2 linked regions of the Ovis aries genome follow. The protein of the gene in region 1 purifies or fractionates together with the protein of each later gene. This does not show direct contact. Links are inferred from orthologs where the notes say so. Each region holds a gene or a part of one and is shown in the gene's direction. Other genes may lie near its edges.

The links. The genes of interacting proteins can lie anywhere in the genome.
Region 2: the proteins of OSBPL8 (region 1) and GLG1 purify together in Homo sapiens (co-immunoprecipitation; 3 studies listed by BioGRID and IntAct, with this or other methods). This does not show direct contact. The link is inferred for Ovis aries from reciprocal best matches to the Homo sapiens genes OSBPL8 and GLG1.

The regions. Positions count from the first base shown.
Region 1 is NC_056056.1:112,358,242-112,361,826, reverse strand, and holds part of OSBPL8 (oxysterol-binding protein-related protein 8), read left to right. Parts: intron 1-373; coding exon 374-577; intron 578-2,010; coding exon 2,011-2,095; intron 2,096-3,585. UniProt on the Homo sapiens protein: Lipid transporter involved in lipid countertransport between the endoplasmic reticulum and the plasma membrane: specifically exchanges phosphatidylserine with phosphatidylinositol 4-phosphate (PI4P), delivering phosphatidylserine to the plasma membrane in exchange for PI4P, which is degraded by the SAC1/SACM1L phosphatase in the endoplasmic reticulum.
Region 2 is NC_056067.1:1,542,977-1,547,348, reverse strand, and holds the start of GLG1 (Golgi apparatus protein 1), read left to right. Parts: upstream 1-1,544; 5' UTR 1,545-1,564; coding exon 1,565-2,008; exon of another isoform or gene 2,009-2,105; intron 2,106-4,372. UniProt on the Homo sapiens protein: Binds fibroblast growth factor and E-selectin (cell-adhesion lectin on endothelial cells mediating the binding of neutrophils).

The DNA.
Region 1 (3,585 bases):
CCTACTATTCTGAAAACACCTGTGGACTTACATTGGCTCTACTTACTAATCTTTAAGCTCCAGATCTCGGTACTAGGAAAGTATGTTTTAATGGCCCCTGACCTGGCCAGGAAACAGGATTCTTTTGAAAATGTTGATGTGATGCAGTCTCCCACTAGAATTTAAGTTCCTTGGAAGTAGCAGCCGTGCTGTTTTCACATTTATTTGTAGTGCTGGCTAATTAGTAGCTTAACGAATATACATCTAGTGAATTTAAAATGTACATTGTTTGAAAATTTTAGAGTAAAACACCCTATTTGCCTCTATTCATTTAGTACCTTGTGAAGCAAAAAAACAGACCTTTATTTCTTAAAATAAACTTATCTTTTTGTAGATTCGTGGTACCCTAAAGAGCTGGACTAAATTGTGGTGTGTGTTGAAACCCGGTGTGTTGCTGATCTATAAAACCCAGAAAAACGGTCAGTGGGTAGGAACAGTCCTTCTGAATGCCTGTGAGATCATTGAACGTCCATCAAAAAAGGATGGCTTCTGTTTTAAACTTTTCCATCCTCTGGAGCAGTCTATTTGGGCAGTGAAGGTAAGTAAGCACTTGTTACACAGGCGAAAAGTAAGGGTGACAGTCTGTGAGTAGAGCTGAGCCACGTCAGTGAGTGGCTGGCGAGCGGTTGCTGTCCTCTGCCAGAGCTTTCTTTCTGTCCGCAGCCCCGTTGTTCCTCCTCCTGTCTCTGCCCACAGTGAAATGTGCACCGTAGTGCTTAGTTTATTTTACCTCTAAGATCAAACTTTTTTTTTTAACTTCATTTTTATTTTATTTTATTTTATTTTAATTAAGATCAAACTTAAAAATTTCTCCAGAAAATGTTTCTCAAATTTATGTTGTACCCTATTCTCTCTTGTCTGTGGGGATTGTTTCTACTATTCTTTTAGTTTGCAATTACTAGCTTTGCTTTGTAATAGTGTATCTGGTTTGCTGTGACTGTTTTTCTCTTGATCAATTTGTCAGACTCCCTAGAACAGAAGCTGCCTTTTCTTTTGGTGGTCTTTCCTGCAGGGATGTAAACTTGTGACTGGAAGCCTGTAAGCAGAAGGGGTCTTATTTACTCTTGAGAGGCAGCTTTCTTGGAAGATGGAGCTCTAATGCTTTTATAACTAAAAAGCATGACTGTGGTCACTCCTATGAATAGGAACAGAATAATGTTTGTAAATTTCTGCTTTGTGTCAGGGACTCTTTTCAGCATACTATATGGAATCTTTTTTTAAATTCTCCTACCTGTAAGGAGGATACAAATTTCTCCTATTACCCAGATAAAGAGATTGAGGCCTAAAGAAGTTACTTAAGTAGTTTTTCTAGTATGGAGTCATACAAGATTGAAACCCAGGCAATTTGACTCATGGGCTTACCCTATAGTGTTCTAGGAACTGAACTGTAAATTATAAAGCCATTTGAAAACACCCAGGGGATACTGTAGGATTTGTTGAAATCATATTGATTTGTTTCTACTTTTTTCATTTTGAATGTTCCTCCTTACTTCCTGAGGTGTATGCTTCTTAAAATCCGTTTTATTCTTTGACAACTTAAAAAATTATTTTTCCCCAGACCTAGTAAAAGTTCATTTCTCTCTTTCTTATATTTCCAGCTGTTTCTTTAGGCTTCCAGAAATTTAGTATTTCTTAGCTAGTAGTTTTTGTAGTGTGGAAATTCTCCATTAAATTAAAATTTGGTCTAGTATGTTAAATTTTAGGCTTTTTAAAAATATGTAAACCATCTGCAGAGATAATATTAAGTGTTAACTATAAATTCAGTTTTCTGGTAAGGAAGTTAAGTTTGGTGGAAGAGGAAAGCTTTCCTGACTGCTTGGCATTTGCTCTCAAGAAGCATGAAATTAACGCTTGCTTGCTTTTAAAAATTATAATCTATGCCTTACTTAGTTTATTACAGATATAATGCATAATATAAAGTTGAAATCTCATAATACTATACACCATTTAATTGTTATTTTGCTTTTTAAGGGTCCAAAAGGTGAAGCAGTTGGATCAATAACTCAGCCCTTACCTAGCAGTTATTTGATCATCCGAGCCACTTCAGAGTCAGATGGTAAATAGAAATAATGGATTGGATTTCGATCCTCATTTTTAAGGGTTTATTTCATATATGACTGTGTTTTCCTTTGGGAAATTTGTCTTTAGTATGGAATGTCAGTAAAGGTATTACAATCATAAATTATTTAGAACACTAAGTATTTATATCATCAACTTGATTGACAAGCAGGGAAATCTGATAGAAAGGAAGCATTGTATATTGAGTGATAAATTAGCAGCCTGGAGTTTCCACTTCATCTTTCATGACATATCAACACTCTCTTGGCTTGGCTAGTGTTGTCTGTGGTAATTCATTGTTTTGTCATTTTAGAAGTACATTTAATAGTATTTATATTTTATCATTAAATGTTAACATGAGACACCACGTGCATTGTTTTTCTTTACATAAGACATTCAAATTCGAGCTTCTCTTATGTACTTAATATTTACTTCCTGAGGCAAACATAGGGAGGGTATAACTTATATGAGAGCAAGTCATCTTTAAAACCTTAATAACTGGTAATGGATTTTTTTCCCCAACTTTTATGTTTTATAGTTTAGACCATCTTAGCTTATGTAACCTTCTAAAGTTTCCTTTCACTAGATGGTTATTTTTTAAATTAAAATATCATATGCATGTGTTTTCATTATGAAAATGATTTATTTGGCTGATTTTTTAGCATATCTTGAAACAAATATATATGACTTCTCAGAGCAATTAACATTTTTTTCTGCTAATATTGTTCTGAATTTTATTTTTTTTTTTTAGTTTTTATTTTTAAATTTTAAAATCTTTAATTCTTACATGCGTTCCCAAACATGAACCCCCCTCCCACATCCCTCCCCATAACATCTCTCTGGGTCATCCCCATGCACCAGCCCCAAGCATGCTGCATCCTGCGTCAGACATAGACTGGCGATTCTATTCACATGATAGTATACATGTTAGAATGTCATTCTCCCAAATCATCCCACCCTCTCCCTCTCCCTCTGAGTCCAAAAGTCCGCTATACACATCTGTGTCTCTTTCCCTGTCTTGTTCTGAATTTTAATTTCAAAAATAGTTAGTAGGAGAGGAGGACTGAATTGGGAGTTTGGGATCGACATGTACACACTCCTGTATTTAAAAAGGATAACAAACAAGGACCTACTGAATGGCACAGGGAACTCTGCTCAACATTCTATAACAACCTAAATGGGAAAAGGTTTTGAAAAAGAAGAGATATTTGTATATGTACAGCTGAATCACTTTGTTGTACACTGGAAAACAACATTGTAAATCAACTATGCTGCTGACTGCTAAGTCACTTCAGTCGTGTCCGACTCTGTGTGACCCCATCAACTATCGTCCAATATAAAATAAAATTTAAAAAAATATATATAGTCAACCACACATTAAAAAATTAAGTTGTTAATGTTTCTCCTGACTAATATGACAATAACATTATTTGTACAGGAATTTTTCTGACTTAAAATTGAGGTGCTAAACCTGGAATAGATGTCTTA
Region 2 (4,372 bases), on another chromosome or scaffold:
CTCGTAGCTCAGATGGTAAAGAATCTGTCTGTGATGCAGAAGACCTGGGTTCAATCCCTGGGTCAAGAAGATCCCCTGGAGAAGGGAATGGCAACCCACTCCAATATTCTTGCCTGGAGAATTTCATGGAGAGTCCATGGAATCACAAAGAGTTAGACACAACTGAGTGACTAACGCTCAGGACCACATTATGGCAGTAGCTTGAGGAAGTTTTGGCAGAAATGTCAGGAACATGCCCTCATTTCTAAAAACAGAGGCCTGTGTCAGCCACAGTGAGCAGTTGGTACCCCCAGAATATTCTTATTTTCAGCAGTTCCTTATGGAGTCCATGAACCCCCACCCAATTTCTCAGGTTCTAGTTATGTCTTGTCGGTCTTCACTGCCCATTTGTGGGTCAGGACAGCAGAAGCTGCATTTGTGAACATGGATGACCCGTGGGGATCACATGTCCCAAGCTGCCCTGATTCCCCACCACGGTATACCGGCAGGGTGGGATAAAAGTGCACCGCACCAAGTGAGAGGCCAGGGGTTCTGGTTCCAGGCTGGCAAAGTTCATCCTGGGCAGGACATTTAACCCTGCTGTGCAGAACTGTTACCATCTCTGCCGTTCTTCAGCTGAGTGAGAACCCAACTCAGGCCTGATGCATAGCTCAAATGACACAATAGATGTGAAGATGCTTTGGGAAGGTATCTCTCTCCTGTGGAGGAGGGGGGACTAGTGAGAAGTGAAACCACCATTCCCACCTATAGTGCTGCTAAAGATGCTGCATGCAGGACAACAAGCCAATTACCGAGGCACAACCAACCTGAGGCCTCAGCATGTTTTGCTACTTCCTCCTCGAAATGTGGGTTTAAAATCTGGCTCAGATACAAAGGGTTTCCCGGTTTATTCATAATATTGGTTATAACTTTTTGAATCCCATATTGTGGGCCAGCCACTTTATTTCTAATCTTCACAATTATACTTCACATTAGAGCTCCTCCTCTGCCTTCTCAGACGAGGAGGCTCAGAGAAATTAAAAGATTTGTCTAGTCTGCCAAGAGCTAGAATAACGGGCTCTTTCTTCTGGAACCAGTGCTCCTAACCCTGATTCAGCGCTGCCTTCCTCTCTGGGTAAGAGAAGCTTCTGAGGCAGATGGAAGGAAGGGAGAAGTGCAAGAAGAGGTTCCTGGATATCGGAATACACCTTATCGTGTAAGGCTCACCTCTACGCATAAAGTTTTTTCTTTCAAGTCACAGAACGGGTGACACAGTCTACCGGCCATCTTGGTTGTGGCAATCCCAATCCTTTTTTTTTCTTTTGGTGACGGACAACCAAAGAAATTAGGCAAGGCGGTCCTCCCCAGGGATCTGAAGGTGCGCCAGAGACGCCCAGCGTCGCCCTCTCGCCGGCCGAGGTCCGGGGCGCCGGCCCTCAGAGCCCGGCGGCGTGCGCGCTCGGCGCCCAGCGGCGGGTCCGCGCGGCGGGAGGGGTTCGAGGGACCCAGCCGGCCCCGCCCCGCCCCGCCCCCTCATTTAAATACGCGGCGCCGGCGGGCACGTCGAGCTCGCCGCGGACTCAAGATGGCGGCGTGTGGACGTGTACTGAGGATGTTCCGCTTGGCGGCGGCGCTGCCGCTGCTGCTGCTCGCGGCGGACGGCGCGCAGAAAATCCAGGGCCCGGGCGGCCACGGGCAGGGCCCGGGCCCGGGGAGCAACCTTCTTCCCCTCGGAGCGCAGCCGGGAGGCGGCGTGCTGCCGGGTCAGCTCCTGCTGCCTCAGTCATCTCAGTTGCAGCAGCAGCCGCAGCAGCAGCAGCCTCAGCAGCAGCAGCCTCAGCAGCAGCAGCCGCCGTTCCCCGCGGGCGGGTCTCCGGTCCGGCGGGGCGGAGCAGGGCCCGGCGGGGCTGGCGGGGGCTGGAAGCTGGCGGAGGAAGAATCCTGCCGGGAGGACGTGAGCCGTGTGTGTCCCAAGCACACCTGGAGCAACAACCTGGCTGTGCTGGAGTGCCTGCAGGACGTGCGAGAGGTGAGGCGCCGGGCGCCGGGCGCGCAGGCCTGGCCGCCGCGGACGCCGGGCGGCCTGGGCAGCCGCTGACGCCGCGGCCGCGCCTCTCGCTTCCTCTGCGCGGCCGCCCGCTCCCCGGCGCGCTCCGGGGAGGGGACCCCACCCCCAGCCCTCCCTCGCTCCCGGCGGGGGTCTGGGACGCCCACCCCGGCTCCTGGCCGCCGTCGGCCGAGGCCCAAGCGGGTCTGTGTTTGCTCCGGTCTTTTGTGTGATGCTCTAAGCGCGGTGGCTCCTCGGTGAAGACCTGTGTAGGATTTTGCTCCCCTTTTCGATTTGGGTAATTTGTAGCAGCTCTTTAAAACGTGAAAGATGGTTGGCGTACTTCAGCTGGTAAAGAATGCCCTGCTGTTTATTGGCAGTAGGTAATGTTTAGACAGCTCGGGTTCTGTTCTGATGTGTATTGTAGTCTGCAGCCAGATTTACTGTCTTTACCCTATTCTTCTGTAATTCAAAAATTCCTGTTATTTATCAGCTGCTGAAACTAATATATGCTTTTTTTTTTTTTCCTTCACGTCTTTTGGTCAATTTGTAATAAATCCCAAGTGGTCCCGAAGCTTGAGAAGTTGAGGCAGCGTTTGAAGCTGGGCTGTGAGGTCTTTGCTTTCTGATCTTTTTGCCTGTCTGACTGTACCTCTTAATGCCGTCTTGTTTTGATGTTCTTTGATGCCATTCAGTTTAGTAACACAGAACTCTCTAGATTTAATGCTGCAGACGTTAAGTGCAGTTTTGACAGTTATCAAAGTTTGGGAGCAAATCTGGTAGGGACACTTTTTCCAACGTTTAAACAAAGGCCCCAAAGTTGGCATAGAATGAAACCATTGCTTGATACAGTTTTATTTGGAAAATTGTTATCAGAATTGCCTAAGATGTTCATGGTCACAGGAAGACCATTGGTTTGTAGAAACAGGCTAGTCTTGGCAGTTTTTTCCCCCCTTATCCCACCTGATATTTGCTCTGGTAGTCCATACAGAGTAATTCACAAGAGGAAAAGATATACATGCTCAGGGGACAGAGAGAAAGGAAATTTCTAGAGCCACCAGAAATGTGGAGCCTTCGATGACTTATCTACAATTTGGAAATTAGAAAAAGAATCCCTTGTTCTTGATCCTTCACCTACGTCTCTAGTCAGTACGGCTAAGATTCTCAACTGTGTCACGCTTCTTGAAATTTTCTGTTTGCCTTTGAGGATATAAAATACATGCTGTTCTCTCAAACTAGGATCGTAATGTTGAAGACCAAACATTTGGTGAGTAGTTTGTGGCAGAAACAGGATGTTATTAGGGAAAGTGGCCCTTTCTAGGAGTACCTCTTTCTTGACATGTATTAAGGACACGTGGATTCTGTCACTCACAGGAGCAGTGTTCCTTTGTCATGCTTGTAGAAGTGTGCAGCAGCATATATGATCCATAAATACCAGATCTGAGCACTTTTGGAGTCGGGTTAGTTAGCTAGATACTGTATTTCTTGCATTATTTACTGTACAAAACCTGGCCTGAAAGTGCAGGTCCTGTAGTTCCACCTTTGAGTGTAAGACTCTCAGCAGGGATATTGTTTCGGTAACTACATTTTCCTTCCTTTCTGGGGATGTTATTTAAACTCTTTGAAGGTAGTTACTAGGTCTTGTACTTCCTTTGTAGCTTTCCAGAGTACCTAATTCAGTGCCTAGACTCAGTAAATAGTGTTGACTGATTGAAGGTGAAGTAAACTAATGGAGTCTGTTTTATGAAAGAAAAGATGTCATGTAAATTGAAAGAGGGGACTTTTGGAGGGCAGGGGTTTATTCCAAATTTCCAGTTGTTTGGTTTTTTTTTTCCTCCTATTTTATATACATAAAAATTGAAAGAATAGTACCATGAACAACTATATATATTCTTTAAGAGGTGGAGCTAGTTTTAAACTACTTTTTTTTTTTCCTTTAAAGACAGCAAAAAGAAATTTTACTCCACTTAGAGAATTAGTTAAATCTATGCATTTGAAAGCATATAAGAAGAAAGTGAACTAGCTAGGCACATTTGAAATGGAAGTATGGAACGTGTTTCTTATGTGCTTTTTGGTACAAAGGACTGTTTGATAGGAACGCAGACATTTGTGCTTCTTTATTCCTTTGGATACTTATTTGGGGGAAGGTTGTTCTCTGTGTTCTTGCTGTTAGTATTTCGAAAATGCAAAGCATATGACTATTTAAATGGTAGTGTGGTAAACCACATTTTTATTTTGAAGTAGCATGGATATATGGTGTTAGGTTAAGTCTTAAGTTCAAATATTTTAAGGTTCCCTTTAGTGTTCAAAGTTACGTATTAATTCACTTACAGAATCTATTTGAAG